Linked DNA regions of Alligator mississippiensis. The main gene of each other region encodes a partner of the protein of the gene in region 2 in a complex. Links are inferred from orthologs where the notes say so. Each region holds a gene or a part of one and is shown on either strand. Other genes may lie near its edges.

What was found. The genes of interacting proteins can lie anywhere in the genome.
Region 1: the proteins of PPP2CA (region 2) and PPME1 are in contact, whole or in part, in a crystal structure (PDB 3C5W), measured with the Homo sapiens proteins. The link is inferred for Alligator mississippiensis from reciprocal best matches to the Homo sapiens genes PPP2CA and PPME1. Residues at the interface, in NP_002706.1 of Homo sapiens: His59, Arg89, Gln122, Val126, Tyr127, Asp202, Ile211, Ser212, Pro213, Arg214, Gly215, Ala216, Gly217, His241, Gln242, Leu243, Met245, Phe260, Tyr265, Cys266, Arg268, Cys269, Thr304, Pro305, Asp306, Tyr307, Phe308, Leu309; in NP_057231.1 of Homo sapiens: Gly84, Gly85, Met157, Asp181, Val182, Thr186, Ala187, Ala190, Ser193, Met194, Phe197, Leu198, Leu291, Trp298, Trp301, Phe302, Lys316, Val323, Asp324, Arg325, Leu326, Asp327, Lys328, Thr331, Ile332, Gln334, Met335, Gln336, Gly337, Lys338.

Annotation. Positions count from the first base shown.
Region 1 is NC_081824.1:466,851,965-466,859,716, reverse strand, and holds the start of PPME1 (protein phosphatase methylesterase 1), read left to right. Parts: upstream 1-4,731; 5' UTR 4,732-4,763; coding exon 4,764-4,861; intron 4,862-7,752. Other genes in the region: C2CD3 (C2 domain-containing protein 3), read right to left, coding at 311-531, 1,386-1,543, 4,101-4,404. UniProt on the Homo sapiens protein: Demethylates proteins that have been reversibly carboxymethylated. Demethylates PPP2CB (in vitro) and PPP2CA. Binding to PPP2CA displaces the manganese ion and inactivates the enzyme.
Region 2 is NC_081832.1:70,069,841-70,077,008, forward strand, and holds the start of PPP2CA (serine/threonine-protein phosphatase 2A catalytic subunit alpha isoform), read right to left. Parts: upstream 3,082-7,168; 5' UTR 2,986-3,081; coding exon 2,884-2,985; intron 1-2,883. UniProt on the Homo sapiens protein: Catalytic subunit of protein phosphatase 2A (PP2A), a serine/threonine phosphatase involved in the regulation of a wide variety of enzymes, signal transduction pathways, and cellular events.

The DNA.
Region 1 (7,752 bases), on a different chromosome or scaffold from region 2:
ACAATCTTGCCTCTCCCCCTTCCTCTTACAGTCCCATCATGAGACATGCCAACTCAAGTGTTTAATTAAGATACATTCTGGGCCACATCTTTAACTTGTGTAAACTGGCAGAGCTTGAGTAAAGTCAGTGGAGTGATGCCAATTTATACCAGGTGAGGATCTGGTCCCATTATTCTTTTTTCTAATTATGCCCCTAATTACTGCACAGTTCAGACTACACATGGACTTACCCCACTGGATATAGTCAAATGGCTACTGCTTAAAAGTAAACCATATGAATTGGAAAATGTATCTAAAGGAAAAATGTTACCTAGGAGTTGCAGCCCTGCTGCTGTCGGCAGACTCTCTTCCAGTAACACACATCCCAGGAGGCCTGTATGTTTGTGGTGGAGCTAGAAACTGAGGCTTGCTGGTTTCACTCATCCCTCTGGTTCCCTTAGCACATGAGATAATATCTTTACTTGCATCTGTGGTTGGGAGAGAGCTGCTCTTGTCATAGGTTTCAGGGAATGGTTCCAAAACTAACGATATCTAAGAGAGACAATATAAAGAAATGCATGTGTTTTATTTCTGTGTGTTTTTTATACTCTACAGCATATTGTTGTTTCACTCCTAAATGTTATGTATTCTACAGTTATGCAGGGCACCAGCCTAAACTCTGAAATATTTGTTTGTTATTTCACATCACACAAAGCTAAGGAATCACTTTCTCCAGAGAAACAGTGCCAGGGTGGTAAAAAAAAGAAAATAAAAAGGATGTTTAAGTTTAAATATGGATTTGAAATCTAGTTTGAGGCCTTTAAAAAAACATAAAATATTCACAACAGTCAGTTTGCTAGCATGCCATGAATACCACTTCTCATGCTGACTGACACTGTTTCAGTGTGTGTGCATTTTCCCCTGTCCTTACCCATCAGTTACCTCCTGTCTTAGACTGTAGGGCAGTGATTCTCAACCAGGGTGCCAGGACACCGTGGGGTGCTACCAGATCTTTTGAAAGTTGTGAAGTGTGAGGTAATACGTGAGGTGTTAGGAGATAAGCAGATAAACTAAGCAAGTGCAGGCTCAGGCTTGTCCCTGCTTGAACAATTCCCATATTCTCACTCCCAGGCCCCTCCTTCTAGGAAGCAAGCACCATAATCTGCAAAATAGTTTTCAAATTGGGTGGCACTGTATTCACAAAAGTTATGGAGGGGCACCTTGAGTCTAATGAGGGGTGCAGCAAGCTCAAAAATGGTGAGAACCACTGCTGTAGGCTGAGACATGAACCATTCCTTTGCTTTTTATTCTGTAGCCCCTTGCATAGTGGTGTCTAGCCCCTGACTTGGGCTCCAAGTTGCTATAGGAATACAAACTATAAGTCGGAGGAAAGATTTCAGTACTACCTGCACTTCTCCTAGTTTCTCAGACGTTGGTGAAACAATGGTGAAAAATCCACTGATTGGATTGCTTGGAGAGAGCTGTGACAATCCATTAATTTGAACTTTGCCGATAGGAAGATGGTCAGGTTTGGTGATTACCTCTAGTACGAGAGCACCCATATCTACAGGAGACAGAACAGCTAATTTAGGTTTGGTATAATGCATTTTTAAGCATCTAAAAAGGGTTTATGCAAGTAACAACAGTTTGCTGCTAAAAGGCGATTAAAATTGAAAAACTAAAACAAGAAAATGAAATGCCAAGACAACAAAATAAGGTATCATTAAAATAAGATAGGAGGATGATCATATGTGCCATATATTCTCAGGTACAGGATACACTTTTTCCTCAAAAAACAGCTACTGGAAACTGGAGTGCACATTATGCAAGATAAATACTCTCAGGGTAGGTGCTGCCGCTTACTGGCAAAGTCGGCTGCAAGCAGAGCACCCTAATGGGGCAGCACGAAGGAGTTCGTATAGCTGGTGCCCATGCAGGACCTTGTTCTCTCCCTGGCTGCTGCTACTCAGTTACATACTACAAGAACAGATTTTTCTTCCTTCAGTCTGCCTCTCATAAACAAGGAGCGTGCTGTACTCCAGCGCATGTTGTATGTGAGAAAATACAACAGTAGGTAAAAAAAGTATTGTACTGTTAAGAGACAAGTATTGGACAATGAAAGATAATCGGTCCCATCTCATGGACTACTACTTACAATACACACACATGCACTTAAATAGGCTGCTTTGAAGCCCAATCCTGCAGTAAAGTCCATGTCAGTACACGATTCCCCTGAACACAACTCACTAAAGGATTAGAGCCTGAGAAAAAATGTGAAGTGACAGCTGACAGGATCTATCGTTACACTACTTCAGCTACAAAACCACACAATCTTTACTATGACATAAATGTGGTTATAAGTAACAGATCTAGAGTCTGATCCTCAAATACAACTGGAGGGCTGTTGATGCTTGGCAAGGTCATTCAGCACCTCCCAAAACTAAGCCTCAGCCCAGGTTAAATAATACAGCCCTAAAGTCTGATTCTAGTGATTCCACTAAGAGCTGCAGGCATGCTGTCCTTCTCAGGAACAGCCTCTCATCCTTGCCTCCCAAGTGATTTTGGCAGGAGGACTCAGCAGCATGCAATAGTGCATATATATTGCAGTATTGCAATACTACAATAGTGTTTTGCATGTCAAGGCCTCTGAAAGGTGGGGGGCAGGCATAAAGTGTCCTTGGAAACAAGGGGTGCTTCGTATAAGCCTCTTTCCGTTTCATGAAGCCAAGAAGAAGTAACAAGCTGGCTAGTAAACTCCGCGCTTTCTGACACTAGCTCAAGCTTACGGCATTAAGGCTGCAAGATGCAGATGAACACGTGCAAGAGGGTTTGTAAAAGCTTGTGCTATGTATGTGTATGTGTGTAGCACAAGCTCTCACAAACCCTCTTGAACAATGTGCGCACATGCATACACACACACACGGGCAGATCTAGGATTTTCACAAGGGGGGTGCACAAGGTGTGGCGCTTCATCCCACATAACATGTTTTTCTTGAAAAGAAACTAGAAGCTGCACTAATACATCAGGGGGCTCACACTACTTTATTCAGTGTGTGCGTGTAGCACAAGGTTTCATGAACCCTCTTGCATGTGTGCGTGCATACATGCACGTACATGCACATGTGTGGATCTAGGAGTCTCACAAGGGGGGTGCACAGGGCGTGGCACTTCATCCCATATAACAACACGTTTTTCTTGAAAAGAAACTAGAAGCCGCGCTAATACGGCAGGGGGCTCGCGCTATATTTATTCAGTTAAAGATCGAAGCAGAAAACAACAACAAGTCCTGGAACGTGCACCACTTGCTTGAGTACACATGAAGTTTTAAAAAATAAAAATGCAACAAACTAAACTAGGCAAACACCAGTCAAAGGATAGTGTATGGTTAGTCCTGCAGTCGCTGTAGTTAAATGTCCATCTCCTATTCACACGGGTGCAGGTTGTAGCCGTGTTGGTCTAAGGACACAGGCAGACACGGTTCTTTGGGTGAATCTGATCTCTTTTATTAGACCAACTGACCACGGTTTTTGAACCCAAAAGCTTGCTTAAAAACCGTTCTCCAACGATTTGTCAGTCTAATAAAAGATATCAGATTTTATACGAATAGGAGACGTCTGCCCGTCTCCTATCCAGAGTCGCAAAACCGAATCCAGCTGCCTCGAGCGCCGTGACGGCGCCTACGAGACGCCCCTCGTTAGTCGGACCACACCCTCGTTAGTGGGACCACGCCTGACTGAAGGTTTCTAGCTACAGCTAAACCCGGTCGGCCGGGCTGCGAAACGGAAGAGAGACGAGACCGGGGATTTTGCAAAGGGATGAAACCTCAAGGCCGTTAAAAAGCACAGAGAGGCGTTAACACCGACCGCGCAGCGGAGAGAACAGCAGGAATCGGGGAAGCGACAATGAGGCGCGACGTCGAGGACCCCTCCTTCCACACCCACCTGCACCCTCATACGCACGCTCGGACACACGCGTGCACACATCACCTGTACACGCATACCCTTAACTCATGAAGCGAGCCCCCCCCGCACCGATACACGCATATCCACACACACGTATGCATATTCACATGCATGTATACACATGTAGACACACACATGTGCGTGTGCCCATGCCCACACCTGCGAGGTAGGCGGCGAGCTGCGCGGGCCCGCAGCGCACGGGGAAGCGGGCCTGGCTGCGGCCGGGCCCGGCGCGGAAGAAGGTCCCGGCCGAGGCGTCGCCCCACCAGCGCAGGCAGAGCGCGGCAGCGATGGCGGGGGGTGCGGGCCCGGCCCACACGACGCGGCCTACTGTGACGGCGAGGAGGCCGCGCGGCGGCCCGGCCACGAGCGGCGGGAGGCTGGTGGCGGCGGGCACGGGCCGCGGCGCGGGGGGGGCGCGGGCCCGGCGCGGGGGCACCCCCTTGGCCCGCTCCCGCCTCATCGCCTCGCCGCTGCCCGGCAACCGCCGCCGCCGCCGCCGCGGGGGCCGCCGGGAAGAAGCGCGGCGCGACTACAGCCCCCAACGGGCCGCGCGGCACCACGCCCTCTCCCTCCCGCTTCCGGCTGGGAGGGAGGGACTTCCGGCGCCACTACCACTGAGAACGCTCCCCCTTGAGGAAGGACTTCCGGAGGGTCACTTCCGGCTTCGAGTGCAGCGGGAAAGACACGGGAACTTCCGGTGAGGGTGGGGGAGCGGACTCCATTTCCCAAGGTGCCGCGCGGTGTGGAGGGGCACTTCCGGTGGTGGTGGTGGTGGGGGAGGTGGCTGCTCGCTCGTTCCCGCCCGCCCGCCCTGCCGTCATGTCGGCCCTGGAGAAGCAGCTGCACCTGGGTCGCCTTCCTCCGCGGCCGCCGATGCCCGGCGGGGGCGGCCAGTCCGGCTCCAAGATGCGCATGGGGTAGGAGGGGCAGGCCCTCAGGGCATGGGGTGCGGGGGCTCGGCCAGGTGGGGAGGGGACTGTCCCTGAGGGGATGTGGGGGAGGAGGTTGGGGGGGGCGGGGCTCCTGGAGGTGGGGGAGGGGAGGTCCTTGAGGGGATGGGGGAGGGGAGGAGGTTTGGGGGCTCTGGGAGGTGGGGGAGGGGAAGAGGTTTGGGGTGGAGGGCTCTGGAAGCTGTGGGTTGAGGAGGCTTCTGGAGGTGGGGGAGGGGCAGCCCCTGAGGGGATGGGGAAGGGGCTTGGGGGCTCCTGGAGGTGGGGAGGATCAGTTCCTGAGGGGGTTGGGGGGGGCTCCAGCGGGTGGGGGTTGGGGGGGGGGCTCTGGGAGGTGGGGGCGGGGTAGGCCCTGAGGGTTGTGGGAAGGCTTCCTGAGAGCCGTGGGGATGGCGGTGGATGTGCTGGGGGGGCTATGGGGGTGCTGACTAGTTGTGGGGGGTGTCACTGCCCAAGCAGGTGGTGGCAGAGGAGGGGAGGTCCTGTTGGGGGGAGCGGGGTGCCTGAGGTGGGGGATGGGTTGGCAGAAGAAGGGGTGGGGGGAGAGGGGTTGGGGTGGGGTCCCCCACCCTGATAAGTGAGGGGGAGGCAGGGGCAGCTGGTGCAAGGGGGTGGTGGGGGTGGGGTGGTAGTGCCTGTTGCAGAGTGGGACAGGAGGTGGCTGAGTGGTGAGGTGCAGGGCGAAGGGTTGGCACAGAGCAGGGCTGCTGGGGGCAGGGGAGGGCAGTGCCCAGCGCCAATCAGCAGCTGATGGGGGTGGGGAGGGGGGGGTTGCAAAAGAGGTTTCCCATGGGGGCGCATGGGATAGGAGAGGGGGTAGCAGAGGAGGTGGGGGTGCCCTGTGCAGAAGCGAGCAAGGATAGCAGAGGAGGCAGGGGGCAGAGGTGGTAGGGTGCCCGGGGCAGGGGGTAGCGGGGGACAGCAGAGGTGGTGGCGGGAATCCGTTGTGGCAGAGAGGGTGGTTGCCTCTGGAGGGTGATGCTCAAGTACTCATTTGAGGTGCTTTTCTGCAGAGCAGGTGGTTTTCTTGGCGGTGATGTCATGTGTGGAACTAATAATTTGCTGCTTCTGGCGTGTTGGAGGGCTCGAGAGTCAAACTGGGCTGTTGGCAAATGTCTGTGAGTGAGGAGCGTGTCTAGACCCTGCAGAAGAGAATTAGACAAGCTCTAAAGTTTGGACTCCTGTTCTCTTAATTGTGCTCTATTATCTTTAAATGGGAGGTTAGACCCAGCTGAAAAACCTAGTAGGTTTTACTGAAGCAATCGCAGTGTTTTTTTTCCTGTAACCCCATTGTCCAATTGATAACAAACCATTACAGTCTCTCAGCTCTCTGTTCTTGGGGACAAAGTTTGGCAAAGGCAGCTCTTTCAGGATATCTCTTAAACAAGTCTTTTCTCTGCATTTTGTTTTACTCCCTGTGGCTGAGGAAAGGTTGTTTCCGTTGTGTTGTGGTCATTCAAGATCCATGATAGTTGAGCTCAGTGAAGAGAACAGTTGGATATTATTTTCCTGTAGCAGAAGTCTACAGGAAACTCTCCAATGGGTGAGCTGTGCAAGTCCCTGCCCCTGGGAGAGGCCATTTGGCCCTCTGGGACTGTGCAGTGTAGTACCACATGAAGCAAACAGATGGTGAGCTTTATGAATGAGAGTACATGCATCTTCTGAAAGCAGAGTGGGAAGGGGACTGGTCAATGAGAATGTGACACTGTGTAGGACAGTGTGTGAAAGAAAGAAGTTCAAGGGACCCCGGGCATCTGTACACGAGTGCACAGGCTCTAGCAGCCTCCTGTGTCTCGTGTATCAATGTCTCTGCGCTTAAAAATGGTGATGAGGTTGCTTGAACTAAAGCTCCACAAATGAGCTTTAATTGAAGAGGCTGTCTGAGAGCATGTATTAAAAAGCTTGAGAGCATGCTTTAAAGTGCCCGCAGTGACTATGGAAAAGGGGAGCGAGGGGGCCTGATGGGCTGGATTTAAGGAGAGCTTTGAAGGGGTGAAGATAGATTTTGTTTATGGATGAAAATAAGGGATCCAAGTTAAGAACGGTATTATAGTGATAAGATGCTGTATGATACTGGCTCAATTATATGGATGGCTTGTAGAAAGAGATAATATGGGACAGGCTGGAAAATGTTGGCAGTAGGCTCAGGGAGGGACAGCATGTGGGGATTACATAAACATTAGAGCTGGAAGGGACCTTATGAGATCGTCGGGTCCAGCCCCCTGCCCAAGGGGCAGGAAGTCAACTGGGGTCAAATCACCCCAGCAAGATAAGCATCCAAGTGTTTCTTAAAGGTATCCAGAGTAGATGCGTGCTCCACTTCTGGGGGGAGTCTATTCCAGACTGGAGACTCGGACAGTAAAGAAGTTTTTCAGCAGTTTGAGACTGACTGTTAGACCTTGTCTTCCCTTGGGGTGCCCTAGTGAACAGACATTGTCCCAGTTCCTGGTGTACCCCCCCTTGGTAGCAGCCTATAAGTATACAAGTCACCCCTGAGCCTGCACTTCTCCAGGCTGAAGAGTCCCATGGCTCTCAGTCTTTCATCATAAGGCTGATTCTCCTGCCCTCTGATCACGCACATGGCTCTCCTGTGGACTCTCACAAGCTTCTCCACATCCTTTCTGAAGTGTGGAGCCCAGAACTGGATGCAGTACTCCAGCTGCGGCCTCACCAAGGCCAAGTACAGCAGGAGGATGACTTCTTGGGTCATGCTTGAGATGCCTCGGTAGATGCAAGCCAGAGTTTTATTTGCTTTGCCAGCTGCAGCATTGCATTGGTGGCTCATGTTCATCTTGTGGTCAGTCATGACCCCCGAAGTCTTTTTTGGTCATGGTGCTAGTGAGTGTAGCACTACCGAG
Region 2 (7,168 bases):
TGTTTTTGCCTACTCTTCCTCTGAGGTCTCTGTCAAACCATGACTGCTTACTCACCCGTGAAAAAGAGCAAAGTTGCTGTGGTCTAGCTTCCTCTTATCGAGGGATAAGAACCAGTAACATCAGCAGTCTCCTGAGAACAACTGACAAGTAAATCCCTGCCCACTTTTAATTCACCATAACCTGATCATTTCTCCATATTCAGTGTGCACCAGCTCTTCAAAACTCTTGCTTCTACTGGCTTCTCTAAATATCATGATCTTTTATTTACCCTATACAAGCTCCCTTCTAAGGTAAATTATCCTAGAAGTCCAAATGTTGTTTTTTTTTTGTTTGTTTTTTACAATAAACTTTCCTTCTACAGTCTCTCCTGCCCAATGAACACCACTCCCTTTGCAACTGAAGGTTAATTTTCAACATATATTTCCTTCTATATCCAGACAGCCTGTTGATTCTACAGCAGGCAAAAAAAGTATTTTATGTTCTTACTGCTCAAGACAGTTCTCATCTTGGCACACAAGGTCATCAAAAATAGTTCCGTTTAAGTCAGCTTTCTTTCCCATGAACAGACAGAAGTATTACAGCAATGAGTACCTCATAAATATGTAAGAATTAAGGGCCGGATCAGAAAAGGTATTTAGGTATCTAAACAACCATGAATCCATGAGACTTCAAACTGCAAAAAATCAGGTTGTTTGACGCAGAGAGAGAACACCGATAATAATCGAGTTTCCTTTCTTAAGTATTCACCAATTGCATTCGTGTTGCCTACCCATCCACCAACCATGTTAAATTGTGACTGTGTTATTTAAAAACGTAGCGATCCCTGTAGCATGTATTCCCAAGCATGCTATAAAATGCGGGAGGCAACTCCCGCTTAACGCTGTAACACTCGTTTTACTTTGATACCCAACTCCACTCTTCAAGTTTTGTTATATTGCTCATGGGCATCACACAGCTGGCAGCAGGGAGAGTACACTAGCACCACAGCTCATCAGCAGCACAGTCTCGTTGTGCAAGTTAGCGCCAGTTGGCTTGTGTCACCATCTTGGTTCATCAAAAAACAAACCTGGTCTCGCTTAATGCTATATTCCTTTTAATGCTTGGTTTTTCAGGAACCAATTAAGAGCGCTAAATGGGGGTTTGTCTGTATTTTACTTGAACAAGTATTTGGGAATTTGTACTGGAAACAGGACTGTCCTTAAATGGTTCTTACCCACCCCTTGGAAAAGTACTTTAAGGAAGAGGTTGGTAAATCACAATCAAGCGTTTCACAAAAAAATAATCAAATCCTTTTTGGTATGAAACACTTGTTTGGGATATACCAAACTCTTCCTTAAAAATTCTATACCAAGCAGCACTTTTCCTACTTACAACATGACAATTTAGAGACTCATCACATACCATAATTTGAATAGAAGTACAGTACTGGAATATTTTATAATGGTAAAGTTTGACCATGCTACACTCATAAGCATTTGTCTGTGAAAGCACCTTTGTGTAACTTCATAGAGATTATCAAGGGCACTCTACAAAAAGAGATGGGTTCAATCAGCACACTACAGTAGTCACAGGCACAATGCCAAACCTGTCACTTCAGTGTTAGTGACAACCATAAGGGGGCACATCAGTGACATCTCCCAAATCTGTAATCAGCAGCTCTCCCAAGCACACGCCACAAAAGGTCTTTTTCTCCATGCTAAAATCGTATGAACATACTGAATATACAACACCCCTCTCTTTCGCTGTCACTGCTTTTCAGCTACAAGTCCTGAAGTAACTTGATTCAACACAAGACCTCCATTTGGGACACAAGGTCAACATGACGAGAGGAGCGTGCTCCACCTGCACAATAAATTGTTGCCCCTTAGGAACAGAAACGCAGCATCTCTTGCTGCTCTAAGTTAATCACTGGGAACAGAAACGCAGCATCTCTTGCTCCAAGTCAAATCATCGAGCCACACGCTTCCTCGGAAGAGATCGCTCTTTTCACTCGTGCAGGCACACAACGCGACACGACGGTGTCACCAGGCACCCCGAACAGACTGTGCGAAGAAAAGCTGAAATGAATTTGCTCCGACCTATACCTGTCGCTTTCCTTTTTTTTGTGCAAAAGTCTAGTTTACAGATTTCACAGTCATTAGGGCTGGAAGAGACTGTGGCAGATCAAGTCCGGCCCCCCGCTCCAGGGGCTGCAAGTCAGCCAGGGTCACAGGATCCCAGCAAGACCAATTGACTCGTAAAGGAGTCCCAAGTAGGTGCTCACATCGGTCTAAAACAAGGCAAATCACCTCTACCGGGAGTCCCGATTCCCTTTCGCCTCTAGACCAATACGGCCGCGATGCGACCCGACGCGTTCCTTTCGGGCATTAAACGCTTTAGAGACAGGGAAATTCGGAGGAAACAAAACGACGGCTTTAAAAACATTGTGAAAATTTACCGAAGCCGTTCACCCCCGTCTGTCCTGGCACTTGCCCGCGAGGCGGGCGAGTCGGCGTGGACGTCTCTGGCGAGGCAGGGAGCGGGTCGGGAGGAAGCCACGCGGTTTCGGCAACGGGGGCGAGCGCCGGAGCGGCCCGACCACCCCGGGGGTGGTGTCAGGGGCTGGAAGGGGCCTCGCCGCACTGGGGCGGGGAAGCCGGCTGCGACGCGGCGAGGCCGCCGACTCGCGCGGGGAGGGAGACGAGGCGAGCGGGAGGGAGGGAGGGAGGCGCCGCGACCCCGGTGCGGGGGGCGCCTGGGTGCGGTGCAGGCAGGGGGCGGCCCCGCGCTCCCCTCCGCGGCTCCCGGCGCCATTTTAGGAGTCGCGAGGAGGAGGAGGCCGAGGCTGAGGCCTAGGCCGCCGTCTGCCCCGCCCCGCTCCGGCCCGCGCGCCCCGCGCTCACCTTCTCACACAGGCTCTTCACCTGCCCCTCGGACAGCTGCTTGCACTCGTTGAGCTGCTCCACCCACTGGTCCAGCTCCTTGGTGAAGACCTTCTCCTCCATGACTCCCGCCTCCGCACCGGCTCGGCTGCACGCAGCGCTGGCGGCCGGAGCCCGCGGGACGCGCACACACGGCGGCTGGCGGCAGCGGCAGGCGGCTCGTCCGCTGCCCTCCGTGTAATGGCCGCCGCCCTGACGTCACCCTCGGAGGGGGCCCTCCGGAAAGGGGAGGGGACACGGCGCATGCGCCCCGGAGGGCCGCCCCGCGCCTGCGCACTTGGAGGCTTCGGGAGGGGGGAGCGGCTGGGAGGAGTCGTGCGTGTGTTGTGCTGTCGGTGCGGTGGCGCATGCGCCGTGGGGTTGCTTGGTGGGGGTGGGCAGCAGCGCGAGCCCTTGGAGGCCCTGCCCAGGTAGGCCGCCCCGCCCCGACCCCGCCGGGAGGAGCGAGGAGAGGTGTCGGATCCAGCTGTGTGGGGCAAGGGGGCTTGGTCTGGCGCCACATGGGAAGGGGCATGAACCTGCCCATCCAACTCCACGCTGCAGGGAGCCGGGCGGGGAGGGGAGGAGGCCCGGCCCAGCCACACCCAGGGAAGGGGGAGGGGAGGGAAGGGAAGGGGTCCAGACCTGCACGTGGCTGGGGGAGGGATCATAGCTTGACGCCTAACCCAGCAGTGCAGGGGGCATAGCCATGGCCTGGCTTCCACTTGCTCGGGATTTTGGCAGAGGGACGGGTGGCACTATTGACCCCCCCCCCGCTGCCAAATTTCCTGACCCCTTCTGCAGCCCCCCAGCTTGCGGGCAGGAGGTGGAGCGCTCCTCGTTGCTCCGGCGGTCCGTCCAGGGAGCCACCCCCGCGCTGCACTGAGAGCGTGAGCCAAAGCAGCGCAACTCCTCTCTAGGTGGCTGGCGATCGCTGTGCTGCCCCAGTGGCTCAGATTGCAGATCTTGGTCATCACGATTGCCCCGTAATTATTTCTTTTGAACTGAGCCAGGGATAAAGAGTAGATCTGAGCTCCAAATTATTGTTTGATGACCAGCCAGAAGAACAGCCCTCTGACTGACGACGCAATTGGTTCATGAAAAGCTGCGTCTTCAGTTGAAATATGGGGACTCGGAACCAGTTTTCTCATAGGGACAGTGTTACCCCGGACTGGGGCAGAGTGGGGCTATGGGAGGGCTGCGGCCACCCAAAAATTCACCGTAGCCCCCACTGCCTGCGTGGTGCAGCCCCGGCCCCACCTGTCCCACCCCACGCAGATCCAGGGACACACGCCCCCCCAGCATGGTCTCCTGGACTAGCAGCGGAAACCACTAGTCGAGCCGCCAGACAAGCGGTGCACAGTGGTGGGAGCCGCCATCCCCTCCTCCTGGTGCCCATCAGCCCTGGCTGGACAGTGTTTGCCCCAGCCCCGACCCCTCCCTCACTGTGGGGGACATTGATCTCCCCTCTCCCTCCCCTTCCACCACTTACCAGCTACACGCCGTATCGACCGTTGTAAAGATGAAACCAGCATTGAAATGGGGTGTCAATTTATAAACATCATAAACGACATTCATCGCAACTTGAAAAGTCCTAAGTTGGGGGCTGCCTGTAGTTCATGTTGGGTATCGGAATATCGGAACCCCTGAAACTTCTCTCCGGCATTTTGATTTTCTTGGAGGACCTAGCAGCCTATCAAATTAAAACTAGTGTTTCATCGGAAAAATATGTGGTATGAATTGATTAAGTAGATCAGACACTAGATAATTAAGAGTGTAATTCTGCACTTGGATTTCTTCCATAGGAGGCACAAAGACTGCATTCAGTATCTGGTATTCTGCTTCTAGAAGTGATTATCTGATGTTTGAGAGGAAGGTTAAATAATAAAAATAAATGCTTACTTTACAATGTTGCACACAGTGGTGGGGGTTGTTTGCACCCACCCAAAGGAGTGGTTAGGTTGTATCCTGAAATAGGAGATGACAATATTAATTCATAGCAATTAGCATGTGAATGGGAATCAGGCTTCCATATATCTTATGTGTAATTAAGGAGATCAATCTGCTCCAGTTGCCAGAATGAGTCAACAGAGTAGTCCTTCACCTTTGTACCCAGTCCTAATGCTTGAGTCAGTGACAAGTGTTTCATGTTGCTGGCATGCTTTAAAAAAAAGGTAAATCAAAGTTGATTACACTTCTATTAACATGAATAACTATTGAGTTGTTATTGGTCATGATTATTCAGCCCCTATTAAAAACCTTCTACAGTGCTAGCTAGCTCTCCAGTGTCCAGAAATGAATTCCATAAGATCATTGACCTTAGGTGTATTAGTGCTTGTAGTAAGATGTGTCATACTAGCCAAACTGCAAGCTCTTTCCTACTTCCTTTTTTATTTTATTTTTTCAAAATAAGGGAGATAGATATCTACAGCTATGAAGAATGGCAGAAACGTTTATATGCAGTTTATTGCAGACCGTTCCATTATAAGATTTCTTGCACTGCCTAAAATATCAGGTATTGGCTTTTTAATGGAGATTGGTTACTGAATTAGTTGGATCCCACTGTTCTGACCAAGTTAGGCAATCCCTGTGCTCGATAACAGGACCATTCCATATAGGAAGTTATTCATGAGATGTGTTTGTCCCCCTCATACTGATAAAGACATTTAAGATTTCCCTTCACTTGATCCTCCTGTACAAATATTCAGTCCTGGTTATTCAGCAGGATTCTTATACTTGTCCCTGATGAATCCTGGTTATTCACTAGTATAAGAATCTCAGTGTCCATTCAAGACTTAAGTGAGGCCAAGGGATGAACCCCATAATTAATGCCATTAAATCTTACCAGGAGCACACTGCTACTACATATGCAGCCTCGTGTGTCTTTGACTGCCTGATGACATTGTATCCCTAAGGCAGCCTCAAGTGGCTTTCTTGAGAGCTGTCATAGTGCAGATGATATTAGTCCCTGTGACACGTCATAGTTATACAAAGGGTAACATAGGTGATGAATTGTAAGAAGTATGAAGCTTTCAGTTTTCAAGGATGAGAGGCTACCCAGTGAGAAATCTTGTTTTGCCTGAACAAGAGAAAGCTAGCACTGGCAGCTATCATATTGCCAGCCTGAGAGAGAAAGCAAATGTGTGTATATTCTGGACCCCTCAAAGGCATTTCACTCTGCTGCACATTAAGTATTAACAACATATAGGATATCTTGCAATAGCCAGTGGGGATGCCTTGTGCTGAATCTATTCAGTCCTACTAAACTGAATCCAGAGAGATGTGAAGGGCATTTGTCACCAGTATCGTCCACTATCTCTTTTACTCGGAACGAGGTGATACTTCTTGGAGAGGTTGTGAGATTACGCAGATTCATATTCCACTAATATGATTACACCAACTGTATGTCTCCACTGAGGTACCTTACACTATTACTAAGATGTCTCGGTGTCTTTAAGAGATGAGCAGATGAGGGGGGTGACTCCACTTTAAGAAAGGATTAGTTTTCGTAAGTCTGATTCACTGTTGTCCTGCATAAAAATAAAACCAGTACATAGCAAGTGCAAAGTGCAAAATTCTGCATTCTGATTTGATGTTTTTTCATATTCACTTCAGACTGATGCCAATGACTTCACAAGGTGAAGGCAGTAGAGAGTTAGGCCCAATTAAATTATGTTTGTGTTAGGCTTAGACAACTAGTTTTAAAGCATTGGCTTTGCTCAGAGTCAAGGCTCCAGCAAGATGAATTGTTAGAAACAGTCCTATTTGGCAAATGATATTCATTATGCTAGACTTTTCCCTGTAATATTTACTTTAGTATTTTTATGTCACACAGATCAAGGGAGGTGTGTTGTTTTCTTTGAGATACTAGAACTAAATCTATGGTATGAAAATTAAACAAATGTAGCATTTGTTAGAAGTATAATCATGTGCTTCACTTAGGAGGAAAAGTATTTCCTTTATGTGACTTAGAGACTTTTCCCAACTCTAATAGAGTTGATGAATGTTTTCATTAGTGATATTGCAGAAGTGTTTAAGAGTATCACAGTAACTTGTACAGAAGTTGCTGTTGTGGTTATCAATAGCCACCAAGGCACAACAGACTTTGTAAACTCTCTGTTTCACCCCATAATTAGACCCTCAGTAGTAGGCAACTGTCAGTCCTTCGGGATCATGGTGTATGTGAGAGAGGTCACCTGGACTTTCAACTTGTATGCCTTGGCAAGAGCATGGAGGAGTGGAGGCTGCCCAGACCTTCTACCCCCAC